Linked DNA regions of Ovis aries. The protein of the gene in region 2 interacts with the protein of the main gene of each other region in a pairwise test. Links are inferred from orthologs where the notes say so. Each region holds a gene or a part of one and is shown on either strand. Other genes may lie near its edges.

The links. The genes of interacting proteins can lie anywhere in the genome.
Region 1: the proteins of STAC3 (region 2) and FAM133A interact in binary tests that used the Homo sapiens proteins (3 or more experiments, as listed by UniProt). The two-hybrid records come from large-scale screens. The link is inferred for Ovis aries from reciprocal best matches to the Homo sapiens genes STAC3 and FAM133A.

The regions. Positions count from the first base shown.
Region 1 is NC_056080.1:140,887,219-140,892,943, reverse strand, and holds the start of FAM133A (protein FAM133A), read left to right. Parts: upstream 1-1,933; 5' UTR 1,934-2,343; exon of another isoform or gene 2,344-2,494; intron 2,495-2,649; exon of another isoform or gene 2,650-2,871; intron 2,872-3,137; 5' UTR 3,138-3,207; intron 3,208-5,725.
Region 2 is NC_056056.1:162,370,554-162,376,372, forward strand, and holds the start of STAC3 (SH3 and cysteine-rich domain-containing protein 3), read left to right. Parts: upstream 1-2,094; 5' UTR 2,095-2,289; intron 2,290-3,009; 5' UTR 3,010-3,010; coding exon 3,011-3,070; exon of another isoform or gene 3,071-3,330; coding exon 3,331-3,598; exon of another isoform or gene 3,599-3,834; coding exon 3,835-3,932; exon of another isoform or gene 3,933-4,146; coding exon 4,147-4,219; exon of another isoform or gene 4,220-5,088; coding exon 5,089-5,186; exon of another isoform or gene 5,187-5,819. UniProt on the Homo sapiens protein: Required for normal excitation-contraction coupling in skeletal muscle and for normal muscle contraction in response to membrane depolarization. Required for normal Ca(2+) release from the sarcplasmic reticulum, which ultimately leads to muscle contraction.

The DNA.
Region 1 (5,725 bases), on a different chromosome or scaffold from region 2:
TTATTTCAAGGAAATATTGTCTTGGTTAACAATTCTTACAGTTTTCACAGCTATATTGTAATAGGAACACAACAAAAAATTTCACAAAAATTAGAACCTTGTAGCACCAAACAACATGCTTTAGACAACTGACAGCAAGTTACACGTTTTGAAGAATATTACACAACAACAGGCTAGATAGAATTTAAGACAATTTAAGACAATATTTTAGGCTATGAAGAAAGTACAAAAACTCAAGACTATGAGGAATACTAGTGTTGAGATTACAGGGCAGGTTTTTTCAAGGCTATATAAACCTGTTTCATTTCTGCTTGAAATTTGAGATTCCTGAAAATTCTTTCATGCAGCCTCTTTTATATTTTCGTTATTTCCTATTTCCATAGTCTTTATGGACTCATAGGTACCATTGACTTCTCTTGTATAGTAATAGATTGATTTCAGGATGACGTTATCATGCAAAGTTTGACCAATTTCAAAATCTTCATCAAGGATAGCATCTTCTCGTGGTTCAAGCTTTCCGATAGTAGGAATCTCAGGAGGGCTAAAGATATTGAAGAATGATGCATCAGGAACCACTCTTGGCTGGGTTTCAACTTGTCCAGTAGCTGCTGTGCAACTCTGGGTGGTTGTCATTGTAACATCCTTTCCTCTTCTCCAATCTTACAGCCTTTGCAATCTTGGATTTCCCAGTCCCAAGAGAAGAAGGGATCATTGTGATCTGGCTTTGACTTTATTATATATCTCTTGGTCAGCACCTCATTCTTGAAGTATGGATTGGGTAGAAAGCAAAATTCAAATGTGTAACTTACAGGCCTGCTGGGTTTTTAAAACTTCAGGCTAACATCAGACAGAAGTTCAGAATGGGCTCATCATACTTCTGAATCATGGGCCCCAGCTTGTCAACATTCTTGAACACAGTCAGCCAATAGTCAGGAATGCCTTTAGGATCTTATCTTTTAGGCTTTCCTTTTCGAGCTCTTTTAAGAGCTCTATCTTTAGGCGTGACCTCAGGAACTCTTTTTGGAGCCTCTTTTCCTGGAGTCCTTGCCTTAGCCTCTGCTGCTTTAGCCTGCCCTTTATCTTCTGCCTTTGCCTGGAGGGCTTATTTTGGATCTTCTTTTACTTCAGGCCTGGCCTCCAGAGCATCTTTGGACTGTGCTTTTTCTTCAGTCTTTGCTTCGGAATTTTCTTTTGGTGTTACATTTTCTTCAGCCTTGACCTCAGGTTTTGCTTCCAGGTCATCCTCTTCTTCCTCACTCTCTAAAGCAGGCATCTCACTAGAGTCTTCCTGCATCTCTTCATCGCTGCTGAACACCTCATCCTCCGAATTCCATTCACATTTTTCTTCCGTGGGCTCATATTCTGCATTGATGATTTGGAATCGCCGGTTGTACAGAGCCCTATTGAGTTCGGCATATTTTCGTTCGAGATCATGAACTGCCTTTAAGAACAGGGCGTCTACCTTGTCACATTCGTCTTGAATATTTCTGAGAGCCTGCACACGATTTCTAACCGCCCGAGGCAGCTGATCCACGAAACTTCTACCTGACGGAGCCCGCCTCACACTTCTGGAGGGCCCAGGTACACTTATACGTCTATAGAATGGGCTGCGGCCACTGCTGCTACTGCAACTACTGCTGCTGCTACAGCTGCTGCTGTCAGATTCGTCCCCAGAATCGCTAGACGAGATAGCTACCATCTCTCCATCCACCCCCTGGGCGGCAGGTTCCGAGACCCTGTTAGGATCCGCTTCTGCCATTCTGCAAGTCTGCAAACCTCTTAGGTGGTCACTACCGCGTGCCCAGAGATGGGTAGAAAATGACTCACGGATGCTTGGGTGGTGGCGGCGGAAGCCGGGGCTGAGGAAGTGGCAGCGGTGAAGGCAGCAGGAGCGCTGGGCGGGGCGCGGCTGGGCCGAGGTGACTGCACCGGAGGTGGCGGCGGCAGCGGAGGCCTGGGCGACAGTGGTGGAGGCAAGGCCTCTCTGACCTGCAGCTGCGGCGGACTGAGGTGTGACGCAGCTGAATATCGCACTGCGAGAGCCCGAGATCTCTTCACTGCTTACATCTTGAGCCCCCTCCCCTCGCAGTCAGACCTCCAGTTCCTTTAGTTCCCAGTGTGCCTTTAGCTCGCACCTCATTTGCTAGACAAACTTGATTGACCTTGATTGACAATGCATCAGCCCAATAAGTGCGCAAGCACACCGCCGCCTCTAGGCTCCGCCTTCCTTTCCAGTCGCTCCTTGGTTGCTGAGGCACACACCACTGAAGACTTTTTTCCCCTTAAAATTCTGTCTTTATAGTTTTATAATTTCAAAAAAAAAAAAAAAAGCTTAGATATGAGGTAAAAATACTAGTCATGGTTCCTAACAAGGGAAGAGGAGTACGCTCCCATCCACTCATCCTTAATTCCCATTTGGTTTGTCAGGGGCCTCGTGACAAAAAGCTGTTCTTAAAAAATTGGAAGAAAATGCTCCAAATGGCATCATTGGATAGTATGATTATGGATTTCTTTTTAAATTCTCTTTCTTTTATCTGAATGTCTTATGAGCATGTATTTTTACACTGGGTAAAAAGGGGGAGTCGTTTATTGGCGAAGGGGGGAGGGGCTAGAAAGCAGGCATATTGAATTCCACGTAGCAGCTTTAATAAGTGCTGTTTGTGATGTTTGGCAAGCCTGTTTTATATCCATCTACAAGGTTTGCGAACCCATGTTGCCGTGAGTCAGTTACACCATTTTTTTTTACTGTATTTCTCTTTTTAATCTGACATGTCATAGACCCTGTCCTTGCTGGTGATTTGCCACGTAGTCTTTCTCCATGCTTTTAACAATCTTGTAGATAAAAAGGATAAACGGGCATTCAAATGTTAGGTAGTAGTATTTAAAAGCAGATGGTTTATTCTATACTTTTGTGGCAGCAGCTTTTAATTTCACGAATAGCAGGATGGGAGGGGGAATGTGTTGATGAAACTGCATCCTCTGTCAGGGTGTACTTTACAATGGCATCTGCCACCAGTTTCCTTCTAACATTGTACAATTCTAGCCATACTGAAGTATGATTTACAGGTTCAGTAATAGATGAATACACTTTTGCAAAATGAAGTTTAAAAACAGGTATCTGTTATTTTTATTTACAGGATTCTTTTCTGCAACAGAACGACTCCCTTGGTACAACCAAAAAGACCAGTGTTTACTTTTCATTGAAAGGTAAGGAACATATTTAGCCCATTTTTATGAATGACAAGAATTACCTATCTATATTTAAATAAAAATTCACAAGATGTAGCCTTTTATTTGGAAGATATCTTGTTAGTTCCATGGAAGCAGAAAAATCCACAGAGGTGATTTGGAATACTAATGTAGAAAATAACCTAATTAATCACATTCACTTTTCTGAACTTGCTCATAGACTACAAGTAACAAATTAAAATATAAAATATGATGAATTATTCATTTCAAATGAGGAAAAGTATTAAAGTTAGATTACCTCTTATCTTTCCTTTTTATTACAGAATTTGTGCTTATTTAGTTGTATTTTTTAAGTTAGGAAACACTTTTATTTCTATTTTATAAATGAATTTACTTTTATTATTTACTCCTGATTGTCAAAGTATGTAAGTATTGTAAGGAAAAATACAGCATAGAAAATTTCAATGGTAATACAAACACAATCAAATGATAACCACTGTTAGAATTTTGATGCATTTTCTTCCAGAATTTTCTTTGTAAATATATACATATGCCTGTTTACACATGCTGTTTTATCTATGTGACATCATATTGTGTTTTGTAATCTGCTTATTTATCAATTAATTGTGGCTATATTTTCACAGTAAATGGTTGAACATCTCATTTTTAAATAGATGCATATTCCATGAAAATATTTCCCGTAGTTTAACCAGATTCCTATTGTACAGCAGCTACTTATACTACCTCTCTACTAGTAGACGTATTTTTCCTGTTAGAAAATAGTTATCTCAGATACCTACTCTATGCACTTGTAAAAATTAGCCATATGATGAATTCCTAGAAATGAGAGTCCTGAAATAAACTGCCTGATCATTTTACTCTTTGATACATAGTGCAAAACTTCTCTCCAGAAAAAATTATCACAATTTGCAATTATACCAACAATGCATCAGTTCATTTATTTAGTCATTCAACTATTATATTTTTGTGCCTGCCATGTGCCAGGCACATGTGGTAGAGGAAGATGATATAAGTCTCACTAAAACTTACTGGGTGCATATCCTTTCATTTTTATAATTTTAATTAAAATATATACTATAGAAACAATGATTTAAATCAATGAAGCTATGCTGTAAATATTGTTCTATAAATTATTATTTTCCCTTAAAATGATGGACACATTTTGTTAATGAAGGAAGTTATATTTTATAGTACTTTAATGGTTTAATATACATGTTAAGTTTTGTACCAACAAGAATTAGTATTTTGGTTCTTTTTTAATTTTTTAAATTTTTTTATTTTACTTTACAATACTGTATTGGTTTTGCCATACATCAACATGAATCCACCACAGGTGTACATGTGTTCCCAATCCTGAATCCCCCCTCCCACCTCCCTCCCCATACCATTTCTCTGGGTCATCCCAGCACACCAACCCCAAGCATCCTGTATCCTGCATCGAACCTAGACTGGCAATTCATTTCTTATATGATATTATACATGTTTCAATGCCATTCTCCCAAATCATCCCACTCTCTCCCTCTCGCACAGATCCAAAAGACTGTTCTATACATCTGTGTCTTTTGCTGTCTTGCATACAGGGTTATTGTTACCATCTTTCTAAATTCCATATGTATGCGTTAGTATACTGTATTGGTGTTTTTCTTTCTGGCTTACTTCACTCTGTATAATAGGCTCCAGTTTCATCCACCTCGTTAGAACTGATTCAGATGTGTTCTTTTTAATGGCTGAGTAATACTCCATTGTTTATAATAGCCAGGACATGCAAGCAACCTAGATGTCCATCAGCTGATGAATGGATAAGAAAGCTGTGGTACATGTACCCAATGGAGAATTAGTATTTTGAAGTAAGCAGTGAGTTTGGGATTCAGACTTTTTAATGTATTTTTATTAGCTAGTTAATTTTCTGAGTATCACTTATTTGATAATCTTTCTATCTCACACATATTTGAAGTGTCACCTTTATTGTATTAACTAAATCATTTGGTTCTGTTTCTGAATTCTGTTTTCTGATCCATTCTCCATAAAGTTAGTTAAAGTGTTAGGTGCTCAGTCATGTCTGAATCTTTGCAACCACATGGACTGTAGCATGCCAGGGTCTTCTGTCCATGGAATTCTCCAGGCAAGAATATAGGGGTGGGTAGCCATGACCTTCTCCAGAGGATCTTCCCCACCCAGGGATCAAACCTAGGTCTCCTGCACTGTGGGCAGATTCTTTACTATCTGAGCCACCAGGGAAGCCTGATCCAATCTCCATAATTTATCTACAAATAACTAAGGAGGGAGTTTTTAAAATAACTTTATATTTTCTAGAAATAATATGGATTGAAGGAAGTCAGTATGTTGAATTCCAAAAAATAAATTTAAAATAACTCAAAACATGCTGATAGTCACCATTCACATTTTAATAAACATCTCCAAGTTAATTTCTTATTATTATGCATTTGTATTTCTTAGATTAGTGGTAAAATTGAATGTCTTTTCATATGTTTATCGTCCACTTGGGAATTGCTTA
Region 2 (5,819 bases):
TGGGTATATTCACTGTAAATTTTATTTAATCTGATTTTTTGTTTGTTGGGGGTTCTTTGGGGGGGGAGGTTGATTTTGTTTTTAAATATAAAAAAAAAAAAAATCTGTTGCTGGACATCAGTCCCTGTTTTCTGTTCCACCCTGGTGTGGATGGGGGCTGGGTGGGTTTGGTGTGGGCTGGATGGCTTTCTCTGGCATATGCACACATATCTGCCTAACACAGTTCCCTGCATCCCATCCTCCTAACAAGTGTTTCTGATAGATGGCTGGGTCTCTGACAGGACTCTGCCACGAACTGTGGTTTATCAAGCACATCATGCTAGACACTGGACCTCTGAGTTCTTACCAGTAAAATAAGAGACTTGGACTAACTAGGTGACCTCCAGGTTCCTTCCACCCTGTTAATTCTGTGATATTCATTTAGGGTTCTGGTAGCTAAGCCAGAGGGGTGTGAGTGAGGTCAAAATTGGGTCAAGATGCTGGCCTCATACATGCCCATCTCCTGAAAACTCTTCAGGGATGGAGGACTTGGGCATTTCTTTAACTCCAAAGCCAGAGGGCTGGGTTCTACCTGATAGGAACAGGATTGCATGTTTCTTAAAATAAAAGCTGTACCAGTTGAATGTGCTGTGCCAAGATGCCATACTGCCCAGGTGTGCTTAGCAGTCCCTGTCCTGTACAACTAAAGAAAGACAAAGAACAGAAGTCATGTGCCCATAAGATAGAACTCTCCTCTGTCTTCACAAAGCTAACCCTGTTGTTGAACCAGTCAGACCAGGGCTGTTAAAGAGCCTGTTGACCCAGAACCATCCAGCAGCCCCTTCTCAATGTCACCCTCCCCTTAAAGAAAGAAAAAACAGCAGTAGGTAGAAATGACAGCACACTGCCGTGGAAATCCCTGGGGTGTGGATAGCAGTGTCTCTCTAGCCAGCCTCCTCTGAAGTTAGTCTGACCCAACCTCTAACATAATCCTTTACTTTTTGCAGATACACAGGATAAAGCAACACGACATTATTGTCTCCAAATTACTCTCCTCTGAGATGGGAGTATCTCCTTTTTCAACCATGTCATAGCTCAGACTAGGAAAAGGCTGCATCCCTGTGAGATAAGGCTGCCAGATATATATTTGACCCCTTGGTTCATATGCCAGGGCAGCAGAGGAAGGAGGTGGAATCAGGGAATCAGAATGACGAGGGAAGCTTGGGGCTTGGCCATCCCACCTCTTAGAGTTTGCAGATGGGAAAGGGCACATTACTTACAGATGACAGACTCCCTGTGTGACAGCTGTTGCTTTCTGTCCAACATTAACAGAACAATCTCTATGTGATCATTAGACCCTCACTCCCCCAGAACCTCTCAAATGGAAGTCCCAGCCTGGCTTTTTAAAATAGCTTTTAGAATTCTGTTCACCCCAAGGACAAGATTTTCGGGGGATAGGGGACAGATATCTCTGAGGGCTACTGCAGGGAACAAAGCAGTACCACAGGTTCTTCACTCCCTCACAGAATAGCAGCAAGGCACTCTTCCAGCTTCCTGTGGATAGAAAAGCAATCAAATTTTCCTTTCTTCACCAGTTTCCAAGCCCTTTCCTTCCTAAAGATTGGAGGCTAGATCAGTGCTCGAGGGTATAAAAACACGTGGCCACAAGAAGACAGTGGCTGAGAGGTTGAAAGCTAGATTCCAGAGAGAGTAAAACTGGGGAGGTGTTTGGATCTTGGGATAAGGGGACGAAGAAGGCTGCTTATAATTCATCTTTACCTTTAGTTATTTAAAGTCACTCTCTTGAGTGAATTCCTTGGCAGTCCAGTGGTTAGGATTCTGAGCTTTCACTGGGCCCAGGTTCGATTCCTAGTCAGGGAACTAAGATTCCACAAGTAATATGGAGCAACCAAAAAAAAAAAAAATTGATCCACATGAGTATGCAGTATGGACTGTGCCTTCCTGAATTTAGCCAGTTCTGACCTGCACACCATAGATGAAAACCTGGGCAACAGCACTCGGGGGGGTGGGAGGAGTTAGGGTCCAGCCCGCCCCGTGTCCAATTTCTCTGTGTCAGCTGTGTCGCTCAGCTGTCCACTTCCCTCTAGCCCTGTCATTTCAGCTCTGACACCAAGGCAAGAGGCTAGGAGGTCTACAAACACCGTCTGGGTAGCCGGTGTGAGTACAGAGGGTACTGGGGGGGCTTAGCCCCCAAGGAAGACGACCAGCCTTCCCCGAACACCACCATCAAGATCACAGGGGCTCCCTCTTTCCTCTGCAGGCTGTGAACTGACTTAGGGAATCCCAAACGTAAGTTGCCTCTTCATCCTCTTTCCATTTCCAGGATTGCTCACCCAAGCTTCCCCAATCCATAGTCTATTCAGCTTCTTCATTTCTCTCCTTGTTTGTGAGTAGTTTGGGTTTTAGGAGTGAATTTATTATGCTACTCCAGGACAAGAGCTAGGATTGGAGGGTGGGGTGGGGGTGGGATCAGGAGAATGGAGCAGTAAGGGAAGGAAAGGCTCATATTACTCTGAAAACTTAAAATAGCTAAAGGCTGAGGCAGGCTGGGAACTAGGCACTGGGCCCCCAGGGCTCATGGGAGAGCTAGAGGAGAACAACTGTGCTCAGCCCATCCCTCCACGCATGTTTGTGGACACACACATTAAACCTTTTGAAAGAGGATCTAGGGAGGTGTGTGTGTCACATTTCTGTTGCCCCAGGTTTTCAGGAGAAACAAAGTATCTGTAGGAAAATCCCTAAACCATGCAGCCTTGGGGCTGTAAACTTGGGTTGTCCCTCAGGGCAGAAGGATGCTTACTGATTTGAGGAGTTGGTTGGGAAGTTCTTTAGTCTGCTGGGCTTTTCTCTGGCCCTCCCTGCTCATAAATCTTGTGAAAGGATCTCTTTTTAACCAAATTTCTCACAAAGCCTCCCCTTCAAGGACCACCCTACTACAAGGGACAGGAATAAGGGAGGGAAGAATGGCAGCTGGGGATGAGATTTCATGGTGGGTCCAACTTCTTGCAGGATGACAGAAAAGGAGGTGCTGGAGTCCTCCTCTTTTCCATCAGAGACTCGGAAAGGTGGGGTGAGTCTGGGCCTCTGACCACCGGGGGTGGGAAGCTGGGGAGCCCCTGCAGCTCTTGAAGAAAAGTGCTTGAATTGATCTCACTTGTATATGTTAAAATCTCACTTACTGTTAAAATGCTCCATAGCACCTGCAGCCCCCACACCCCCTAATCCCGGAGTGTGGCCCTTGTCCCAGGTAGAAAAATGTAGAGATAGCCTCAGCCTTACCTACTCTAGAAGGCAAGACAGTTCTTTCAACACTGGATCTCCCTCCCTCAGCTACAGCGGCTGAAACAGTTATTCAGGAAGGAGTCTACAGGGACAAAGGAGATGGAGCTTCCCCCAGAGCCCCAGGCCAATGGGGAGGCAGTGGGAGCTGGAGGTGGGCCCATCTACTACATCTATGAGGAAGAGGAGGAAGAAGAGGAGGAGGAGGAGGAGCCACCCCCAGAGCCTCCTAAGCTTGTTAATGATAAACCTCACAAATTCAAAGATCATTTCTTCAAGAAGCCCAAGTTCTGTGATGTCTGTGCCCGGATGATTGTGCGTGAGTCACGAAGGGAAGTGGAGAGAGTGCTGTTGAAGGCAGGGGTGGGGGAAAGGGTTTAGGAGAGAAGTATTTGTCTGATCAGACAGGCTGTGGCAAGATCTGGCTCTAGGAAAATACTTAGAGACAGTGTGGGCTCCCAGACAGAAAAGGGACCGGGGAGCTAGAGCAGCAGCAGCCTTTCAAAGGGGGAGGGAAACCAGGAGCCTCACCCAGCATTCTCTCCATCTCCCAAGTCAACAACAAATTTGGGCTTCGCTGTAAGAACTGCAAAACCAACATCCACGAACACTGCCAGTCCTACGTGGAGATGCAGAGATGCTTCGGCAAGATCGTGAGTAGGCTCTGGGGAGCAAGAAAGTAGAAGGCAGGGCACATATGGCCAGCTTCCTCCTTTGCCAGTCCCTCCTCAAGTCACCCCACCCATTTCCCTGCTTTTTCTTCCTCAGCCCATCTCTCACTCCAAGAAGGGGCACACACACGTGGGAGAGACAGGGTTCTGGGCCCTGCCTGGTATCGCTAATGTTGTCTCCCATCCAATCCTACAGCCCCCTGGTTTCCATCGGGCCTATAGCTCTCCACTCTACAGCAACCAGCAGTACGCTTGTGTCAAAGATCTCTGTAAGTGCCCCGTACGGAACCTGAGGGAGTGGGAAAGCCTAGAGGTGCTTTCAGCACTGTCTCCAGATTTGGAAGCCAAATTCTGAAACAGAAAGATTCTATTTCCCATCGTTTTCACTCAATCTAGTGTTTCAGCCATCTTGGATACAAAGTCAGTATCCCCGTGTTTTATGGCTGGGGGAGATAAGATTTAGCTCTATATGGTAAGGAAGAGACTGAAACTTTCATCTGCCTGAACTCAAACTCTGTGCTCTTTCTATGCAAAGCCATTTGTAACCATGAACTACACTCTCCTCATCCCCTTATTACAAAATAATGCCAGACTCAGGGCCAGATAAAGAGCTGTGGGCATCCTGGGAAGATTCATAATTTGGCACCCCTTAAAAATGTATTCATTGATAATTTGCTCAACCTTTATCTGGAGAAGAGGCTGAACTCTCTGTGAGGAGCATGGATGGAAAAAATGAAGAACCCACTGCTGGTAGTACCCCAGCTTGCACATGCCACTCAGAGGAATAAAAGCCAACCGTTACACAAAGGACCCACTCTCCTTGAAAAGAGTGATTCTGAGCATTCCCCAGCTCCCAAGCAACTTATTAGTAGAGTTGTCTTTCTAACAACATACAATGCTTGGCCTGGAAGGAGCACTGGTAAATATTTTTCTCCATCATACTTCCAGTGATGTCTTTAGAGTTCTTTATAAATTGATGATCTAGGTATTCCCAGCTGACACTTTTCTAATTCTAAACACACACACTCGGGTATCTATTACTCAATCCCATCTCTCCCTTACTTAGGTGGTTTCTCTTTCCTCCAAGACTTTTTCTGCCTCCCCACTAATAGCTCTTTTCTTCTCCCATTCCAACTAGCTTCTGCCAATCGCAATGACCCTGTGTTTGAAACCCTTCGCACTGGGGTGATCATGGCAAACAAAGAACGGAAGAAGGGACAGGCAGATAAGAAAAATGTGAGCACCCAATCTTCCTACTGAGATCCGTTCCAGAGACCCCAGTGAGCAGGTCCTGTCTCCTCTCTGGAAAGCTGACAAAAGTAGGGATCCTTTTCCCCTAAAACTGCACATAACCCAACAGACAAATTTCTGTGTGCAATTTTAAAGGGCCTCAGTTTAGCATCTCCTTACAGCATGTGTTTAGGAACTCCCTTTTGAACTTGTCAGATTAACCACCATAATTCAACTAAAGGCTAGGACCTAGGCCTCTGGCATTGCCAGGCAACAGAAGTGATCTATATGCTTTTGGATTTGGGAAGGAGAACTTGTCATGCCATTCTAGAACCCCATAAGGGCCCATGAAGACAATCTGTTCTGACTCATCTATCCGAAAGATGAGGAAACGGAAACACAAAGCTTCTGGCCAAGAGCACCTTCATTTCCTAGATTGGTAATACAATAGACTTGTATTCAGCTCAGCAAGGGATTTGTTAGCATATCCTTACATCTTTCTGGACAAGGATGGACTAATGTGGATAATGATCACAGTTAGATGGATTCATAAAATTAGTTGAATGACAGCACCCAAAGGATCCTGGTCCTTTAGGGAGTTTCCAACTATAGGGAGGTTTCTGATGCTTTTTGACATGT